Linked DNA regions of Arabidopsis thaliana. The protein of the gene in region 4 binds, or shares a complex with, the protein of the main gene of each other region. Each region holds a gene or a part of one and is shown on either strand. Other genes may lie near its edges. The genes, in order: AT5G10960, AT5G11350, AT1G61470 and AT3G58580.

Region 1 (4,382 bases), on a different chromosome or scaffold from region 4:
ATCCAAAACCCATAAAATTAAACAAATATTTGGTACTAGATGATTTACCTAATCTAAATTATATGTGCACGTGATATTAAAGAATTTATCTACGTTAAATACATGCAACTGTTTAAATAATTCTTTCTAATTTAAGTAACAAAAATTTCAATTTTAGTTTCTATTTTCGTTTTTTTCGATTTTGATTTTAAATATAGAATTCTATTTAGATTTTAGATGAGCAAGCAATTACACGGTGAGACATATTTTTGGAGGGTAACAATTAAGTAAATTTTGTTATATATATAAGAACAATTATGCAGAAACTTTCATGTTTGGTATGTGTTGGATTCCAGAAGAAATTTCCTAAAAATGGTCGGATGATGAAACCACCATCTAATATTTCGTGACTTGACATTACTTGTTTATTTTTTTTAATTTATAGAAAAAGGTACACAATTATTTGATATAAAACAAGCTAATACATTAGTTTATATAAAAACGAATTAATTATTACAAAACAATGGATTATGCTTGAGGGTAAGTGGGAAGCACGATGATGCCTTGACTCCGTAATAATAATTAGAATTAAAATTCCTTTATCCCCTTTCTTCCTAATAGTTGTCTTTTTTTGTAAAAAAAAAAAGAACTTTGGTCCTCGTTTGAGTTGGAGAATCTTTTCATGTAATAATTTTAAGAAGAAAAACTGATTACGCTGGTGAAACTTGAAAGTTTTTTTCTAAAATAAATAAATCTAAAATGATTCTATTCATGAACGAAGATGATTGTAACAAGTGATGCATGTATCTCTATCAAACGTCTTCCCATTCGTTGTATGATTGCATTAATATTGGCCACTTGTAACTTGTAAGGTAGAAATCCCAAAGTCAATTCTATTATAATTAAAATTACTTTGTTTTGTTTAACAATTATGCTAACAAATCCTTCTTAATAACAAGATAACATAAATCTAAAATCCTTTTTTTGAGTTGAAAAAAAACAAGATACCATATTTTCAATTAATTGGCAGAACTACATAGGAAACAAATCCGAAATTGAAGAGTTTACATAGAAGAAAAAAAAACAGAAATAAAAGAGTTTACCTGGAAAATAATCAAATATTATGTTCTTTCAAATTTTCGACAAAAAAAAAAATTGATATTCTTTCAATTTTGTGAGATAATCAGTACAGAAATTATTAAAATGTGATATAAAATTGCGAGACAATCCGTAGGAATATTATTACCAAATGATATAAAACTGAGTTAAAATTGTAAGAAAAAGAAGTTTTAAGGTTCTTCAAATCATCTAGCTGACTAGCTCCATAGCAAAAATAAATAATTTTGATTGTTTATTAGCACAATCTGTTTCTTAACCATATAAATTTAGACTTGTACAAAAATCAAAATGCAGTTTAGTTTATACAACTTTTCCTATAACTATAAAGTTCGATCGTCATAATAAGGTATAACAATTTAACTCTAGTACCAAATGCTATAAAATACATAAAATTTAAGAATAATGGAGGTAGGTCTACAAAGCAAAAGAAAAAAAAAAGATCATGGAAGTTACAAACGAACGGAATTTCCGTGATACACATAAATAAAAATTGGTCATCATATCACACAATTCGCATCATTAAAATAATTAGAAAACGGACAATACGGATAAAATAATTGGTAACTGGCCAAAACGTAATGATTGATGTAAGAAGACGCACGGCAAAACGTCGTCGTATAAGCTTTTCATCGTCAAACAAAACGGCTTCGTTTCAAGGCTCACACTTGTCTTTATTTATCACTTCATCTTCTCCAAAGCCATACCACTTGAAACCTCTCTCTCTGGTTGACCCGATAATTTCTCTCTCGCAGACGCACAGATCTCTCTTCGAATCTGCTAGATCTGTTCCTTTTCTTACATCTGTATTGCGAAACCTCTGGTAATTTCATACTTTCATGTCTCTCCGTTTCATTTCGATTTTCGTTTCACAGCTAGGGTTTGCTTTTTGTTACATCGATTTCTGATTTTCCTGGTGTTGTTGCCTCTTCCTCAGATCGGAAGGTTTCGTTTACAGATCTACCGATACGAGTTTCGCAGTATTTCCGAGTTCCGACGTATGCTTTGTTTTCAGATCTGGGTTTGTTGTATATCTAGAAATGGCGGAGACTTTGAAAGAAGATTCGATTATGATTCGAGAGGTTTGGGATTACAATTTGGTTGAAGAATTCGCGTTGATCCGTGAGATTGTTGACAAATTCAGCTATATCGCTATGGATACTGAGTTTCCAGGTGTGGTTTTGAAGCCTGTTGCTACTTTCAAGTACAATAACGATCTTAACTACAGGACTCTCAAGGAAAATGTCGATTTGTTGAAATTGATTCAAGTTGGGTTAACTTTTTCTGATGAGAATGGGAATCTTCCGACTTGTGGGACGGATAAGTTCTGCATCTGGCAATTCAATTTCCGTGAGTTCAACATCGGTGAGGATATCTACGCGAGTGAGTCTATTGAGCTGTTGCGTCAGTGTGGGATTGATTTCAAGAAGAACATTGAGAAAGGTATTGATGTGGTTAGGTTTGGTGAGCTTATGATGTCGTCTGGGATTGTTTTGAACGATGCTATCTCGTGGGTTACGTTCCATGGTGGATATGATTTCGGGTATTTGGTTAAGTTGTTGACTTGTAAGGAATTGCCTCTCAAGCAAGCTGATTTCTTCAAGCTTCTGTATGTGTATTTCCCTACGGTTTACGATATCAAGCACTTGATGACGTTCTGCAACGGACTGTTTGGTGGATTGAACAGACTTGCGGAGCTTATGGGAGTGGAGAGAGTTGGGATTTGTCATCAAGCTGGGTCGGATAGCTTGCTCACCTTAGGGTCGTTTAGGAAGCTCAAGGAACGTTATTTCCCGGGATCAACTGAGAAATACACTGGAGTCTTGTATGGTCTAGGTGTGGAAGATGGTACTACTACTACTGTTGCTAATTAAGAAGAAAGGAATGAAAGATACTTTGAAAATTCCAGGGAAGTGCGATTAGATATATTTCTTTAGTCTTTGTGAGTGTGAGAAGACCAAAATAGAATCGTCGTTGTGTAAATTGGCAAATTGGTGTTAGTAAGTGACTTGTTGTGTCTTTGTTGCTTTGTTTTCAGGAAAACCCCTTGTGATCAAAATTTGAGGGGTTTTTGTTTTAGCTTGAGTTTCTGAATGTATATCAATTCAGCTACCCGTTTATTTAATAAATAATCTCCAATTTTAATTTTTCTTCTCTTTTCTTTTTGTGTGTGTTTTCTTCTTACTAGTGACCAATGTAACTTGACAGTGGCTTCTTGTAGTAGCGTTTGCATGTCTCAGCTTGCAGTTACTGTGTAATTCTTTGTAACCATACCAGTTTGAAGATGCAAACTGGTAAGTTTTATGCTTAAGAGAATGTTGAATCTTCCTGTGTTCTTCTTTCCCTCTTCGTTGATACAAGTTGATAAGGAGAACAATGAACTGCTTATGCTAGAGGTTATATGTGTTACATTGTTTAAAAAACAGAGCTATGGTAATCGATTGATGTATAGATTTGTTATTTAGGTGTTTATGATGTAAGTGGTATCATGTCATGGTTAATGTGGAGGAGAATCACATATGTATGCTGTTGCATTCGCCAATCACCTCAATAGCCAATTTATTATCATATTGTCAATGAGTAGCATTCTAATGCAATCAATGTTTTGTTGGGCAAGTATTCAGACGTCATCTGAGTCGCAAGTGGTACAGAAGATTACGAGATTTGACTGATTGAGACGTCGTAGCTCATTCAATTGCCGAAGAAAAAAAAAAAAGTATCAGCCTGTTGGAAGTATTATGTCAAAATGTGGATTTGTGTATGAACTCAGTTTCCATCAAGATAATTAAATCTAAGTTTCTCAAAACCTTAAATATTTCATTACACGAACTTGTTTGATGATCGAAAACATATGATCCAATAGCAACACGACACGAGAAATAAAGTAAAAAGAAGAAAACAACAGCAATACGGCAAAAGTCCGAGTCACTATTATGTAGGTGTGGCAGAGAATCAAATCTACTTCTTATTACAGAAGAAACAGTGTACTTGCTAGTCCTGTCTTTAACGGCTTCTCTGAGTCTCTTCACGTGTGTTTGTGTGTTGGGAATTGGGATTCTGATTTGGGCCTTTGTTGTGTGGGCTTTGATCAGAGGTGGGAGAACGTTTTTACCAAGGTTGAATTGGGATTCTGATTTGGGCATGTTTGTTGTTTTAGGGTTTAGTTATTATCAAATGACCACTATTGGCTATTGCTTTGCTTTAGGTAACCAAAAAAACGTTACATATTTAAATAAAAATGTGTAACACAGTGCGGACGAAATAGCATCAAAATTATTTATATACAT
Region 2 (6,398 bases), on a different chromosome or scaffold from region 4:
TTAGTAGTCGAGTTTGTTCCTTTAATAGGAAAAGTTTGCTTTGGGGGGTTTATGATGAACTGTTCTGTGATTAGGCTTGGTATACTCTACAAAGAAAGTACCTTTTGCAATCCTGCTTTCCTTTGGTTGTTTGTTTAGTTGGTTCACTGGTCATTGTAATAGGTGTGATTATCTGTGTCTTCTCTTTTGTTCGGTTCCGTGAATTTATTTGACTGAGCCATGTTTTATTTAGGTTCAGTACTAGTGTCTGATACTAGGAAGAAGATGATTTTATCGGTAATATTGGTAGAAGCCTTCTTTCTAAGCCTTGAATGGATCGATTTTGTTTGCTTTCTATTGTCTGTTGTTTCGTAATTACCGATTCATGTTTGAACTTTGTGGTTGATGACATTGATGTTGACAAAGTATCATCTTGATCGTTGTTTTAAGTTGTTTGACTATATGAATACTGCATTCTTTTGTTCAACCAAGCAAAATTTTTTGTATGTTAAGCATGTGTACCTTGTAATCTATCGCTGATTGACTTATATTATCTTTCGAGAACATGGTCCAAGACTAATTTTCGTATTCACAGAATTTTTTCAAGCTCACTTTTGTGAAACCCTTGGTTGGAACATCTTTTGCGTCAACTAGTTCTTTAAATGTACAATAAGATGTGATTATGAAAGTCTAAAGACTGTTAACAACGTCTTAAATTTGGTACTAACTATTTCATTGCAGTTGCTTGGGTAGTTATGTTCTTGGTGTTACATATATTTTCTCTAATTTGTGATCAAGGAAAATTCTTCATGTTCTAATAATGGATTGACTTCCTCTCAGCATATTACAATGACATATGTGTTGGAGCTATCGCCTGTCGGCTGGAGAAGAAAGAAAGTGGGGCCATGCGAGTTTATATAATGACGCTTGGTGTTCTTGCACCCTACCGTGGGATTGGCATTGGTAAGTCATAAATCTGCTGTGCAAAACTTGAATACCGACAAAACATGAATAATGAAGAAAACTGTTAGCATGTTGTGTAATTCTGTTGTTTTCCTTACGTTTTAACACATGAGGCCAGCTGTAGTATGTTTATTCTGTAGTTCTCTATTTGAAGTGTCTCCATTTAGAGATTCAAACCACCAAGAAATAGTCCTTAGGGTTTTATGCATATCGTTGTTTTACCGAGAAACTGGAATTATGATTCCTCCTATATCAAGATTTAAGATCGAATTCCCTGCTTTAGAAAGAAAAACTCGATGTCTATAATTTGTGTATCTTGTTTTTTTCGTCTTTTGCAGGCTCAAATCTATTGAATCATGTTCTTGACATGTGCTCCAAGCAAAACATGTGTGAGATATACTTGCATGTGCAGACAAACAACGAAGACGCAATCAAGTTCTACAAGAAGTTCGGCTTTGAGATCACAGATACCATACAAAACTATTACATCAACATTGAGCCAAGAGATTGCTACGTTGTCAGCAAGTCCTTTGCTCAATCTGAAGCCAACAAATGATGAAAAATACCAAACTTGGGGAAGCCATTCCTCCCCAGTTTCTTTGTTGCATTCAGTTCAAGATCTATTAATGTTATGATGATCCTTCGGTTTCCGAGTTTTGCTTGTTTTGTTGACCTTAATTTTTCTTACTGATTCTAAATTTATAAATTCCTGGTTATATACTTGCATGATTTCTCTAATGTCCTCTTGGCTTTGGACATTTTCGTTTGGAAAAGTTTTTAACTTTGCAACTCAAAGCTTTACTACCAAGTATCATCGTGTTTGTAAATGTTGGTCTATGAATTTGAGTAAAGAGAGACAATGATTCTTGTTATGAGCTGTAGAATAAAGTAAAGAAAAAAATGAAGAATTTATGACTTGCGTTTTGGCTTGCGTGCCATTTATTCACAGTGAAGACTGGAAGATGTGTTCTTCTTGAATCAAAAAACGGCACGTCTTATGAGTCTCCGTTCATCGGTGTCTGCAATTAAGCACCGGTTCCTCGAGCTTCCTCACTCAATTCGATTGACCAATGCGGCGTTCTCGTTTTGTTGCTCAAGTTTTCTCCGACGTTACCTTCGCTGACGCCTCCACTATCTCTGCTCCAATCTTCACCATGTCTACTCGTGCTCCGGTAAATTTTCTCAGCTATTCTCTTGTTCTATCACTCCCGCTGCGTTGCTTCGGTTACTGGAATATAATTTGTTTCTTACGAAGCAGTACAGAGGTGCCCGAGGACGAGGACGAGGCCGAGGTGGGAGAAGTTTCTCCGATCGTCCGTACAATGATGACGCGGGAAGAGATCAGTTCGTTACTGGAGATTCTCATTTTCAATCAGTTCATGACGCCAATTTCCGATTCCGGCATGGTGAACCTTATCGACAACATCAGCCTCCGCTTGATCAGCGGCAGCAACCACCGTTCAATCAGAATTACGAATTTCGACCTCCGCCGCCGTCACGAGGTCAGTGGCAACAATTCCGTCAACCTAATCAGTTTCCGTCTAATCAAAACTACGCGGCTTGCCCTCCCCCTCCGTTCTATCAAAACCAGATGTCCCGGCCGCCTCCACAGCAGAGCTTTCGTCAACGGCCACGGTCAAAACCTTCAGATTACCGTGAATGGGAATATGCCAAAACGCCACCGTCTCCTGGCTCCGGTAATTTATGCGTGACCATCTCATTTGCTCCGGTATACAATTTTTGATTTGCTTTCTCTTGTCTACAGAAAAGTTTGTTGTTTTATCGTATAATATATTGGCGGATTACCTTGCAAATGATCACTGGAGAAGTCTTTACTTTCACATACCGAGGAATATGTTGAGTTGGGGATGGAGAAAGAGCAAATTAGTGTTCGAGCTTAGCCTATGGTCTGCAGATATAATGTGCCTTCAGGTTATAGTTTCTGCTATATCTTCTTGGTAATTGCTTGTATGAGGGACTAAGGAGACAAAACTTTCTTGCTTTACTATTTTTTTATCATATGTATACAGAATGTATCTTCCATATGTATAGTAATCTAAAATTATTTTGTATATGTCAGGAAGTTGATAAATTTCAGGACTTAGAGGAGGAGATGAAGCACCGGGGATATAGTGCTATTTGGAAGGTAGGTTTGTTGAAAACTTTTAGTTGTCTTGAGTTTGTATTCTCTACGGACTCTCTTGGAGTAAAGATTAAATGGTATGCATCATAAGAACTAGGCTTCAAATGTGGGGTTAACTCTATTTTATAAAACTGTAGATGCGGACTGGTAATGCTGTTGACGGATGTGCAATATTTTGGCGATCCAATAGGTTTGATTCCCTTGCTCTTCCTTGTGTGGATCAGTCTGGAATCTTGTTTAGGATTTCATTGTTATCATATTAGATTCAAGTTGGTTCACGAGGAAAGCATCCAGTTCAATCAACTTGGTCTCCGAGATAACGTTGCTCAAATATGTGTGCTTGAGGTAATATGGATACCTTATGTTGATAGTGACTTATATACATTTGCCTCTTTGCCCTAAATTAAATTTGCTCTGTGTAGACATTGTTGACTTCACATACAAAAGAAAATGAGACCCCTCCACCTGAAAGGTAACTTAAAAGTATCTGTAAATGTTACTATCATATCATTTTATGGGTGGATAATTTCACTAGGAAGTGGCCGATTTTCTTCAGATTTCAGTGGTTTTCTGTATGGACTATACTTTGTGGGTGGGTTGAAGTGAATTACCAATTTCTTTTACAGCTCTGCTGGTTCCCATCGAGTTGTCATTTGTAACATTCACGTGCTTTTTAATCCTAAAAGAGGAGACTTTAAACTTGGTCAGGTACTTTCCTTTAATGCCATATTCTAGTTTGTAGAAATCTTTTGCCAAACGACAGTTTTACTCTCTGGTTTAACTCTGTCTATACGCTATGAACATGTATAAGTGTTAGGTGTTTGAGATAAAACTTTTGAAACCAAACGCTTCGCCCCTTGCTTAACTTGGTTTCTTTAACTGTTTCCATTTATCATCTATGTATTTATCTCTGTTACGTAGGTCAGAACACTCTTAGATAAAGCTCATGCTGTTTCAAAACTCTGGGATGATGCGCCTATTGTTCTTTGTGGGGATTTCAATTGTACACCAAAGGTAGGACAATCTTACCTTAACCAGTTTGTATACCCCAAAAAACTTGTTTTGTGACATGGTCATAACATTCTTCCACCTGGTTGCAGAGTCCTTTGTACAACTTTATTTCAGACCGGAAGGTAAAGCTTCATTGTTAGGAAAGTCCTTCACCTATTCGCAACATTATATATATGGTTCACATTGTGTCTTGTGCTGCTCTCTGCAGTTGGATTTGTCTGGTTTGGCCAGAGACAAAGTTTCGGGGCAAGTTTCTGCTGAGTTTCGTCCACCAAGGCCAGAAAATTATACAACGAGGTAGAGCAAACTCACCAAGTTCTTCGACATCATTAAGTATATGGTTATGCAACTTAACACCTCCATGTCTACCCTAGAATATCGGGTTCTACTCTGCTTTTGCAATTGTCAGCATGGTTGATAGGCCTCCTCAATTTTCCAGGTATCAGTCCGCCAACAAATCTCCACAAGGTCAAGTTCAACCACCAAATTTGATCACAAATGCTCATATGGAGAATAACTCCAACATAGATGTTGGAACGGCCCCCTCCGAGAAGACATCTGAGCTTCCATGTGGTGATACAATTCTTGCTGGTCACGAAGCCACCTCCAGCTCTGACCAAGTATTACCATGCGAGAATATGGCCTCAGATTGTCAGTTTGGAATAGAAAACAGAAAACCTGATGATTCCGGGAATCTCTCGACAGCTGAAGATCTTTCTTCACTAACCATATCAGATACAGAACCTCAACATGCTTCCAGTGCTAGAGAAGATTTGAATACAGATCGTTCTGTAAGTTCCGGTTTATCAGAAACAGAGCAAACTCCTGAGGAAATATGTTCCAGTGATCAAGATATTTCATCTAGTCTCTCCACCAAGGTTGACACTTTTGTGGCTGAAATGAAACTAGATGGCTTAAAATTGGACGAACCAGTAGTATTCGCGCAAGATGAAGAAAGTTTAGGTGAAGATGGGGAAACCTTTTTGGCTAAGCTACACGATAACAATGAAAACTTGAGTCAAAAAGGGGAACTTGTGAGTGAAGTTCCACTTAAATGGAGTTCTGAAGCTTTAAATAGTGACAAAATCACTTATAGTCCATCCTCTTGGACTCCAATGGAGATAGCAACTGCAACTGGTGACCCAGAGAGAACTACGGTTGAACATGCTCTGGAGCTTAAAAGCACATACTCAGAAGTGGAGGTATTGTAATATATCCTCCCTACAGTTTTTCCCTTTTATCTTCTGTTTCTTGAGAAATTATATCCTTAGGAAGCTGTTGAAATTTGTGGTTAGGGTCAAGCAAACACAAGGGATGAAAACGGAGAACCTGTAGTGACCAGTTATCACAGATGTTTCATGGGGACAGTTGACTACATATGGTATTAGCATTAGAAGCAAAACCATTTGTGACAAACCTTAAAATTAGATTACTTCATTATTGTAAATTATGCGCGTTTTGACATATTCTCATGTTTGATTTCTGGTTTGGGTTAGGCGGTCGGAAGGTCTTCAAACAGTGCGTGTGCTTGCTCCAATACCAAAGCAAGCAATGCAGTGGACTCCAGGCTTCCCGACTCCTGTAAAATCCCATGATATTCTTATATAGCCTACCTTTTTAACTGAATTGTTTACAAAACTTTTTTATGTTTGTATTTCTGGTTTGTTACAGAAATGGGGAAGCGATCACATTGCACTGGTTTCAGAGTTGGCCTTCTGCAGCAGCAAAACTCTGCCCAAAAGCTGATATTAAACTGGTGGTGAGTTCATTAGAAATCTAAGAAAGTGTAAAGAGATTAGATGGTTGAGGTCTTGGGTTCAAAGCACATCCTTGTTGCAATGTTTGTGCTCTGAAGGTCGCCAATAGCTTATTTTATATCCCAGCAAAACATCTAAGAGTAAACTTTTACAGAATCTCATAGGCTCTAGTTTTGTATTTTTCTCTATCATATTTTACAGTGACAAATTATATTTGAGTTTTTCTTTTTGGGCGACACTCGATTTCAGAAAATCTGCTATAAAAGTTTAAAGCATGCTTCTTGATTTTAAATAGCTTCAATTGTTAACCCCTAACTCTTTCAGCTTTAGTCTAGACTGACTCTTTCAATTATTACAAATAAACACCTAGCATTTATCCATGTCCCTGTGTCCAATATAAGGACATCTCACATTAGGACCTAATCCCTGCAATATAATTCAGAGCATCCAAAACTTCTTGCATCAATGGTCGTTTCTTCTTGTCCCGATTGGTGCATCTTTGGATGAGTGTGACAATCTTTGTGGCCGCATCCACAGGATAATCG
Region 3 (3,561 bases), on a different chromosome or scaffold from region 4:
GACACAAATCCCAAAAGGTCCACATACACCGTAATAATCACATGAGTGCGCTGGAGCCACAAAGTTCAATACCCAATCAGTCCCACTATGCCTAGAAATCTCCAGTGAACCCTTCGATGTTATCACTATACGTGGAAGTTTGAAGTTTCTGTTTAAATAAGTAAGGGATCCTGACCCGTTTGCATCTTGCTAAAGGCTTAATGGATTTGTAAATGAATCATCCATTAGTGGTACCCCCGTGAACCTTGTTTTAGCCCATGGACCGCTTCTCCAATAAGGCTTCGAGCCTCTCATAGTTAAAGCTTGTGTTGGCACTTGCGTTGTAATCTGAAGCACAAAGTCACCAACCGCTGGATTAGTGTAACTTTTCCAAGAAGTCAAGACCTGCTTCTCGCCAGTGGCGAGGTTATACATCAGAGCTGAGAAAGGAAGCATAGTATCACCAAGATGGTCAAAGCTTTGCCAAAGAGTTCTTCCCGAAAAATTGTCTATGACAATAAGATTTCCGGTGTCTGAAAGCTCTGCACGAGACCCGTTAGAAGCAAGAGTTTCACCACTGGACCATGCAACGCCATGTTTTCCATTATATAACAGAAGACTTGCGTTGCTGCTGATAGCGAGATTTGCTGTGGAATCTGTAACAGGATTTTCTCTATTGGCCACCCACACAACCACCCGGGGAATGATTCCCTTGAACCAGATTCCAAGATAATGATTTTCCGAGTTATTAAAACTGAAGAAACCCAATTCATAAACTCCATTAGAGGAGCTGAGAGTTTGTCCTATTGACAAAGGACTCTCTTTGTTTATCCCTGCAATTGCAAAGCTAAAACTTATAAAGATGGTATTGGTAAATAAGAGCAAAGAAGCAAAGAACGTGATCCTCATCGTCCCCGTTTGTTTGTTTTTTTCTTTCTCCAATAACTATCTTTTTTGGATTAGTGTGTATGAAGCAAGAGAGCCGGGGAAAAAAAAAACACTGTGTCTTGTCAGAACTACTTTACTTATTTTCCAAAAATATGCATTATTTAATAAATACATGATAGATACATTGGCACGAAGAAGTCATTACCGTATCAGATACGCAACGTTTTCATTGTTCCAGTCCTTACTAGCTTGTTAGGCCCAGAAGAACCTATATTTTTCTTGAACTGCAGACTATGAATTATCTCGTTTAGGCATTTCCTCGAACACTTGCAGTGCATAACAAAAAGTCAGAGCTTCGGTGATGTCTTGAAGACCTTAATGACCCCAATCGATTGATTCGTACTCCAACCATATGGGCTTAACTGTCACTATCCAAAAGCAGCCGAATAATTCAACAGTCAAGATTGACTTGTGTCAGTGTATGACAGGTTGCTTGACTTGTGTCGTCAAGCCACTAACCCAGAGAAGAACCTTCCGGGAAGACTTAAAATAAAGTCTTTTGTCAATTTCGTGTATTTCGGGATGGAAAATTAGACTTTAATTTGTAATAGGAATTTAATTCGGTTTAGCGTTGAAATCGTAAACCGCTTCGGAAACAAGGCTTTTGAGTTTTGAGAGAGAAATTAGAATTTAATTCGGTTCGGGCAAGGAATTTAATTCGGTTTAGTGTTAAAAATTGAAAACCGCTTCGGAACCACGCGTTTTTTTGTTTTTGAATTTTAAGAGAAAAATTGAAAACTCGTGTTTAACAAGAATTAGGAGTCAAAAAAGTCAACACGAACTTTTGATGGAAAAAAAATGAAAACTTTATAGTATCCTAAAAATAAGGAAACTGAAGTCGGTGTCTTAATCTAATCCCTATAAATTCTCTAATAATATAACGCCAACCAAATAAAATTCATTTGTTATCTCACTTTCTCTTTCAGATAAACAAACAGTTTCTTAGTTTCGTTCGAGATGAGCGGTGAAGTTTGGAGATGGAACAAGCAAGCAGAGATGAATTCGATAAGAGATTGTTTGAAACATTGTAATTCCATCGCTATCGACACAGAGTTTCCCGGATGCTTAAAGGAGACTCCCATGGACGCAAGTGATGAAATTCGTTATAGAGACATGAAATTCAATGTGGACAACACCCATCTCATCCAGTTAGGGTTAACGCTATTCGGCAAAGGAATCACTAAAACCTGGGAGATCAACTTGTCAGATTTCAACGAATCTAAGAGCTTGAAAAATGATAAATCTATAGCGTTTTTAAAAAACAATGGTTTGGATCTGGATAAGATCAGAGAAGAAGGTATTGGAATCGAAGAGTTCTTCATGGAGTTTTCTCAGATTCTCAATGAGAAACATGGAAAAATGAGATGGGTGACTTTTCAAGGCTCTTACGACAAAGCTTATCTACTTAAAGGTTTAACTAGAAAACCATTACCCGAGACTTCGAAAGAGTTTGATGAAACCGTCCAGCAGCTTTTGGGAAGGTTTGTTTATGATGTGAAGAAAATGGCTGGATTATGCAGCGGACTAAGTAGCCGTTTCGGACTACAGAGAATAGCGGATGTGTTGCAGATGAGGCGTGTTGGAAAAGCTCATCACGCTGGATCAGACAGCGAATTGACGGCTCGTGTCTTCACTAAGTTGATTTTCGATTTGGTCAATAGTAGAAAGGAGAGTACTGGAAGAAGAGCTGATGATCAGCAATATCAACTAGAGCAGCAGCAGCATCAGCAACAGCTTATGATGACTAGATGTTACATCCCGATACCGGTCCAAGGAAGGAACTACGTATTGTGATCCCTCAATGTTTAGCATGTCTTGTTGCTAGTATGCAAATTCTTTCTTTATATGCTTAGGATTTAACTTTCAGCTTTTATTGTCCATCAAAACAATTCTCTCAATATTATGACTATTGCTCTTTAGTAAATACTTTAATGAATCTAAAGTTAGAATCTACTCAAAAGCCTCTCATGTAACATCTTTGTCTTGGAATTACTATCTATCAGTTTCCTCCGAATTGAGCTGAAGATATGTAACAAGCCCAGTTTTTTCCTTTTTCGCTATACACTAATCAAAATTTGGAATCTATGTGAAATATTTTGTTAGTACCAATTATGAGTTGTTTTGGTTGGAGTGTCACACTTTTCTCCTGTGGACTTGAGTTTCTTCTTCACTTTTAATACGTGCAAATTCAATCATGGCTCCCTTATTTAGATTTAAGGCATTGACTAATTCTACTTTTATACTATGAGGATATGATAGTATCTAACCAATGGAAACCCAAAATTATGAGCTCATTTGGCTCTGCAGATAAGCTCCTCACAAGATTAGACAATTCTGCTGGAGAACAACTGGAAATGCAAACTCTATAGTAAATCATTGGTCAACCAAATTGGAAGCTCATCTATAGTAATTTTCTCTATTTACTTAAGTGAAAAATCTTTTACAAAAAGCATGAAAGGTTAAGTTATATACATTCGAAAACTGATTCCTTTCGTGAACAATCAAACACACATTCACTCTACAGGTTTCATCACATAATCTCTTACCGCCCTAGGATCATAGAATGGGTCATCTCATTGACAGTGATCAACCTCTTAGACGGTGATTCATCAACTACCGTGTTCACTACAAATG
Region 4 (5,933 bases):
GGTTTGGTGGTCGTGACTTCAGGAGAGAATCTTTTAGTCGAGGCGGTGGTGGTGCTGACTACTATGGTGGAGGTGGTGGATATGGAGGCGTTCCTGGTGGTGGCTATGGAGCAATGCCTGGTGGGTACGGACCCGTACCAGGTGGTGGATATGGAAATGTTCCGGGTGGTGGTTATGCACCTTATGGTAGAGGTGGTGGTGCTTACTATGGTCCTGGAGGATATGGAACCGTTCCTAACCAAGGGTATGGTCCTGGAGTGGCTAGTGCGTGGGACTAAGCTTTAACTTCAATTCTTCAAGAACCGATTATGTTCTCTTTCTCTCTCACTTATCTCTATTGTTTATTATTAGGGAGCAGCCACAGATGTGTATGTTTGCTCTTTAAATGGTTATGTAGTAGACACGAATCGTCTCTTTGTTCAATGTGAAAAAAGAAAACCCCCTAGTAGACCCATATTATTCTCATGAGCTATTTAGTCATACAAAGCAGTTCAAACATTAAAATTGATCCAAGGAAAAGAAAAGTCAAAGGGTTTTCACTATATTGAGGATCAAAATGAGATATAAAAGGAGGTTTAGACAGAGCCACACAGGGGTCATAATAAAGAATGACCAACTTCATAGAGTGGTTTGCCTTACTCAGAATCCCTTTGAATCTTTGTGTCATCTCTATCACAGATTTGGTAAAGGTTTCGTCTAAACAGTTGATGTCATAGTCTGATCAAAGAAGAAGATCGGAACAAAAAAAAAAAACCTATCTGTAAGCAAATGATGGTGGGTGGTGAAGGCGGTTAACCGCGTCTTGTCCTAGGCGTGCATCGAAATTCAGCTAAGAGAGCAATGTGATTAGAAGACCATTCTGGGGAAGGAAGAGCTGTGTCTTTTCTTAATCCATCTTCATCCAGTAATTCCAATAGAGATTCCACCATTAATGTATCCGCTGAAACCCAAACACAAAAAAATCTTCCAATTAAGTTAACTTGTTATTTCTGATGTAGTTGAAAACAAGGACAATGGAGTTAAAAATGGTGAAACCTGTGTAGAATATGTAGTCATGAGTGCCGATGAAGTCCCTTGTACAATTGGTAAACAAAGGCTCGTTTGTATTAAGATCTATTCTCCTTCTGTGTTGTTCCAATCCAAGACCCATTATTCCCTTTCTCACAAACGATGAGTACGCGCTCACCTGAAACCAATTCATTTATCAAATATCCAAGAGAGACGCAAAGATAAGCGGTATAAATTTACTTAAATCGAAAAAAGCAATGTTACCAGAGGCAATTGATGAGTCAATTTGGTGTGAGGACGCAGGATATTAAGGGGATCGACTGCCAGATCTGGGTGCATTGGATCAACCTTTCCCATTACAAGAAGTGTATGAGGTGCACTGTCATAAAAATGCCAAAAAGAAAAACTTTAGCTACTCATAAGAGAATTCTGCATTTCATGTATCATGTCAAAAGAATTTATGAATCAACAAACCTCCCAGGAAGCGTATTGAAGTCTCCACACACAAGCATAGGAATATCGGCACTAGCTGCTATTTTCTCTAGTCCCTTTAATAAGGTATGAACCTAAACGCAAAAGAATAAAAGAAAACATGAGGTGAATACTAATTCTTTCGAGTTCAATGAAATTTGATTTATTTCGGATATAGAGATACACCAACCTGCCAGAGCTTCACATCCTTCAGATCTTGTTGAACATTTACATGTGTGTTTGCCTAAACAAGTTGCCACAACAAAATAAGAAAATTCATTGGCTTTCACTAAAAGAGCATATACAGAAACTAACAGTTCTCATGAGAATGGAAAAAAAAAAAGAACCAGTACCACACAAATAAGCTGGCGCTTCCCAGAAGGATCAGTAGGTTGATTACCAAATTTGGCTTCAAGAACAACTATCAACGCAATGTTATCCTACAACATAAGAATCATTGGTTTCAGTTTTGTAAACAATAACTCTCTGATAATCAGCTGTGGCCCAGAAAAATATTGTATACCATGTCAAAAATACCTTAACCAGTCGGTTTAAAGCAGTTCTCTTCTGAGCCTGAGGGATTAGAGCGTCAGTCAAAGACTGAGCAGCCTTGTTGAATTCAACCTGGATTTACAGTCCATGAATTAGTATAGAGATCTTACTGGATCTAGCAAGTAAACATATAGAACTGAATACAAACATCATATTTCTTGACATGCGAAAACCTATCCCGCCGGAAAAATGTTGCACAGCCGTCAATGGCACTTGTACTTCCGCTGAGAACCTAGCAACAAGAAATTTGTGGTTAATAGATTTTAAAACATAAATCACTGAAGGAAGGAGTGTGTGGAATCATTGACCAAACCTCATTAGTCTTCCTCTTGTAAAGAGCTTGATACCCATGCTTATCCAACTCAGGAGCAAAAATTTCATGGAAATGATCACTTTGTACCTGCCAGATAACAAAAAAAAGAACACATTAGAAGTAGATTTTTCAGAATTAAAATGCTTTAAATCATTACCAAGTCCATACGAATAACATACTTCTTGCAGGCAAACTACATCGGCTCTATATCCAACAATCTCCCTTAACAAATTCTGTCTTCGGTATGGCCATGAAAGAGCCCAAGGAGGACAGTAACTGTAGAGGTCGCTACTTGCAGAAGTATCAGACAAAATGTTATATGAAAGAACAGTGAATGATCCTGCAGACTGAATCCGAGCATCTTGATCTAAGTGACCCATCCCATCAGCTCCGTTAACAGGGATTAGCTTACGGGGGCTTGGAGAAGGAGCAGGAATAACCCGTGAAGTCAAAATGGTACTAGGATGTCCGACAATCTGTTTAGTCTCAGCATTAGCCACAACACACTCGAACTTCAAAACGTGGCTAATATCATCAGCTGTTGGAGTGTACGTTTTGCAACCCCCAACCTCAACTAAAGTCTCTCCTCCATTTTTCTGAGTAATATTAGAAGGATAAAACGGAGCTGGACCATTGTTGGCAATACTAAGATTTGACATAGACCCAGATAAGGAACCAGCGAGAGACCCAGAACCCGCACTGTTATTCCTGTTCAAGTCATCATCCTCGTTTGCGTTGTTTTCCGCAGCTGCTCGCTCGTGCAAAGTCCTGTGATGCTGCCACGCATCCGTGAAGCATTTTGGCGAACAGTGATAGCTTTTTGGAACAAGGGATCTACGCTTAGAACAGAAAACACACTGTAAAGTAGCTTGTTCCGTTGGATGCACACTGCAAATCGTTACTTTCTTATCACTCTGTACACGATACCTACAACAAATAAATCCAAAAAATGAATCTACAACAAGATCAGAACTTTACACACAAAAACCATTTGACGACCTAAATCAGAACATCTACATGAGAAATCTCTGAATTCAGATCAAAATTCAATCTTTGATAAACCCCAATTCGCCAAATGATCCAAGAAAGCAATTAGACAAAGAGCCAATCAGAAATCTAACCATCTGTATCTCAAGAAGTAGCCTTCAAGAGGAGCAGATTCAGGGACGTCATCAGTGGTGGAGTTCTTATCGGGACGACGAACAAGGACGTAAGGAGTCAATTCACAGCCCACAATGGGAATTTCAGAAGGAAGATGCACTCGGATCACGCTCAGCATTGCTTTTCAATAACACCTGGTGATTGTCGAAGAACACTATCGAAGCAGCAGCAGCAGAGATTCAGAATCGAAGCAAGACCTTGATGATGATTATTAGATGATGAATATTGTCGTTGATAACCTAATGAAGTGGAGCGTACGATAGGCTGATCCACCATTTACTTGAACCGAAAACCCGACCAATCTCTAGAAACCCTAGAAAATGTCTTCTTCAGACAAGGTTGAAGATCCGGCAGAACCAAATTAGAATCGAAGAAAAGAAAAAAAGAAAGGAAAATGATGGTATCGAGAAAGCTTATAAGAGATGTGAGATCTTGAAGGAATTTTGTATTAAGGATCGATTCTTTCGCTGTGAATATGGAAAAAATCAATGAAATCGATTTTGGTTTTTTTATGTGTTTTTTTTCCCCGAGTGGGTTTAATACTAAAACTATTATTTTGTGCTTTGAAGACATTATTATGAAATTTTATAATATTTTAATTGATCTTCCTTTTCGATGAAAATTTTGGTTTTGGCGCTCAAAGATTGAAAGTTTTTCGTTTTATTTTTGTTTATATAAAGATAAAATTTTAAAATCTAGAAAATGCGTAAAAACAAATAATCCACAACTAAACATGACTTACCAAAGACAAATCAAGATTTATGACTCGTACCATTACGAAAACAAGATTGGTGACTTAAAAGAAGTGTATTTATATCTATGATAGATTGAAGAAAGAAGGAATGGTGAAGATGAGTCAATAGGTGAGTGTTCAACGCACATTCAGTAGGAGCCAGGAGGTGTAGTTTCTTCGTTAAGATTAAGAGACAAGAAATATCAATTCGTGATATAATTATCTTGAAGACGATTTGTTGCAGATTAAGGTAGAATTAACTTCTTCTTCTTTTTTGTTTTTTTTTTAAAATGTGAGAATTACCCAAGAAGAGCAGCATAGTTTATCAATTCAATTGATCTTCTTAAGAATTGTTGAATTTGTCAAATTAATGAAAGAATCACATTTTAACATTGTCAAAATTGTCATGTTCATTTTCGCTTTTGTTTTCGTTTTAGCTAGTTCATTTGGTTTTCATAAATATAAGCGGTTCAAACCTGAAATAATTAAGGTTCGAATTATGAAAATTTTGTTGGTTTTTAATAAATTTAGGTAGACTAAATTTCATTCTTTTCAGGTTTACTCAATTTTAAAGTATAGAAATTTAAGATTTATATCTAACTTTTGTTGTATTTGATATGAAAAGTTATCGGTTTGTATTTTACCGAATTTAGATAACTATTTACAAATTATTATTTTGAACTAATTATAGAAAACAAATACAATGCGTGTCCAGTAAATCAAAGTTGAGAGATTTCTTTCTCGTTTTTAAGCATTCAACACAATTTTTTCTATTTGTTATTTCGGAGGCCTGAGTCCACATTTTATATGAAGCATAACATGGAAAATAATAATAATTATTATTTTTCGAAAGCGATCTTTTCCAAACAAAGAAGCCTCAAACACTATATACGCTACAAAATAACATCTCGACCTTGTAACAAAGAATGCATTAGATATTTTTTTTTTTAATCAAAATTGTTGAGATGAGCAAAAGCACAGAACGTATTCAACTTTTCAAAAGGGTTGTGGCAGCTGAATATTATTTGTTCTATGATGGTAACTAACAATTTGTTTATTTTTTGTTCTTTATAGTGAAATCTTTTGATTTGATTTTTCTTTTTGTTGTTGTTAGTTTTGTTGGAAGCCGTCAAAGACATACAAAAATTGAAAGTTGATCTAACGATAGAAGAGAAGAAATGCTTAGAAATGGTAAATGAGAATCTATTTAACGAGACAGTAAAGATACTAAAACCGCTCGAAGATATGGGTATGAGGTCTGAAGAAACAATCATTATAGATGATAATCAAAAGATGATTAAAGAGTATTTGGAGGACACCTTCATAGTTTGTCATAAAATATGTAAGGAGATTCAAAAGTTGGGTATTTGCCCTTTGTGAGTTAAGTACTCTTATCGTCCTTTTTCTCTAGAGATTTGGAGGGTTTTTCAATATGAATTAGATATGTAAACCAATATTATTCAAACATGAGGTATAATCTAAAAAATGTGAAAGGAAAGATGGAAGGGATGAGGAGAGCAACCTTTTTTATTAATGATAAAATTTCATTGGAAATGATAAACAAATTAAATTATGGAATAAAAATAAAATTATTCAAAAAAAAAAAGTTGAGTTGATTTTGGTTCATTTAGAAAACCATAATATTAATTCGATTTTCTTTTGTTAAATATGGGCCAATTTGAAAGATCTTATTTG

Evidence for each region.
Region 1: AT3G58580 (region 4) and AT5G10960 share a complex: the UniProt entries of both Arabidopsis thaliana proteins name them as parts of the CCR4-NOT complex.
Region 2: AT3G58580 (region 4) and AT5G11350 share a complex: the UniProt entries of both Arabidopsis thaliana proteins name them as parts of the CCR4-NOT complex.
Region 3: AT3G58580 (region 4) and AT1G61470 share a complex: the UniProt entries of both Arabidopsis thaliana proteins name them as parts of the CCR4-NOT complex.

The regions. Positions count from the first base shown.
Region 1 is NC_003076.8:3,462,446-3,466,827, forward strand, and holds AT5G10960 (Polynucleotidyl transferase, ribonuclease H-like superfamily protein), read left to right. Parts: upstream 1-1,652; 5' UTR 1,653-1,918; intron 1,919-2,032; 5' UTR 2,033-2,135; coding exon 2,136-2,969; 3' UTR 2,970-3,869; downstream 3,870-4,382. UniProt on the Arabidopsis thaliana protein: Ubiquitous transcription factor required for a diverse set of processes. It is a component of the CCR4 complex involved in the control of gene expression.
Region 2 is NC_003076.8:3,619,571-3,625,968, forward strand, and holds AT5G11350 (DNAse I-like superfamily protein), read left to right. Parts: upstream 1-1,948; 5' UTR 1,949-2,012; coding exon 2,013-2,114; intron 2,115-2,197; coding exon 2,198-2,639; exon of another isoform or gene 2,640-2,646; coding exon of another isoform or gene 2,647-2,707; coding exon 2,708-2,874; intron 2,875-3,022; coding exon 3,023-3,088; intron 3,089-3,222; coding exon 3,223-3,275; intron 3,276-3,348; coding exon 3,349-3,430; intron 3,431-3,507; coding exon 3,508-3,557; intron 3,558-3,711; coding exon 3,712-3,793; intron 3,794-4,006; coding exon 4,007-4,099; intron 4,100-4,185; coding exon 4,186-4,218; intron 4,219-4,304; coding exon 4,305-4,393; intron 4,394-4,535; coding exon 4,536-5,298; intron 5,299-5,391; coding exon 5,392-5,477; coding exon of another isoform or gene 5,478-5,484; intron 5,485-5,592; coding exon 5,593-5,677; coding exon of another isoform or gene 5,678-5,704; intron 5,705-5,767; coding exon 5,768-5,842; downstream 5,843-6,398. Other genes in the region: AT5G11340 (Acyl-CoA N-acyltransferases (NAT) superfamily protein), read left to right, coding at 820-942, 1,281-1,498; AT5G11360 (Interleukin-1 receptor-associated kinase 4 protein), read right to left, coding at 6,266-6,398. UniProt on the Arabidopsis thaliana protein: Acts as a catalytic component of the CCR4-NOT core complex, which in the nucleus seems to be a general transcription factor, and in the cytoplasm the major mRNA deadenylase involved in mRNA turnover.
Region 3 is NC_003070.9:22,676,301-22,679,861, forward strand, and holds AT1G61470 (Polynucleotidyl transferase, ribonuclease H-like superfamily protein), read left to right. Parts: upstream 1-1,791; 5' UTR 1,792-1,884; coding exon 1,885-2,721; 3' UTR 2,722-3,002; downstream 3,003-3,561. Other genes in the region: AT1G61460 (G-type lectin S-receptor-like Serine/Threonine-kinase), read right to left, coding at 1-148, 245-888; AT1G61475 (ATP binding / protein kinase), read right to left, coding at 3,470-3,561. UniProt on the Arabidopsis thaliana protein: Ubiquitous transcription factor required for a diverse set of processes. It is a component of the CCR4 complex involved in the control of gene expression.
Region 4 is NC_003074.8:21,660,075-21,666,007, forward strand, and holds AT3G58580 (DNAse I-like superfamily protein), read right to left. Parts: upstream 4,022-5,933; 5' UTR 3,624-4,021; coding exon 3,466-3,623; intron 3,272-3,465; coding exon 2,524-3,271; intron 2,432-2,523; coding exon 2,345-2,431; intron 2,264-2,344; coding exon 2,180-2,263; intron 2,104-2,179; coding exon 2,017-2,103; intron 1,920-2,016; coding exon 1,833-1,919; intron 1,724-1,832; coding exon 1,670-1,723; intron 1,575-1,669; coding exon 1,483-1,574; intron 1,388-1,482; coding exon 1,273-1,387; intron 1,187-1,272; coding exon 1,036-1,186; intron 941-1,035; coding exon 792-940; 3' UTR 524-791; downstream 1-523. Other genes in the region: AT3G58570 (P-loop containing nucleoside triphosphate hydrolases superfamily protein), read left to right, coding at 1-278. UniProt on the Arabidopsis thaliana protein: Acts as a catalytic component of the CCR4-NOT core complex, which in the nucleus seems to be a general transcription factor, and in the cytoplasm the major mRNA deadenylase involved in mRNA turnover.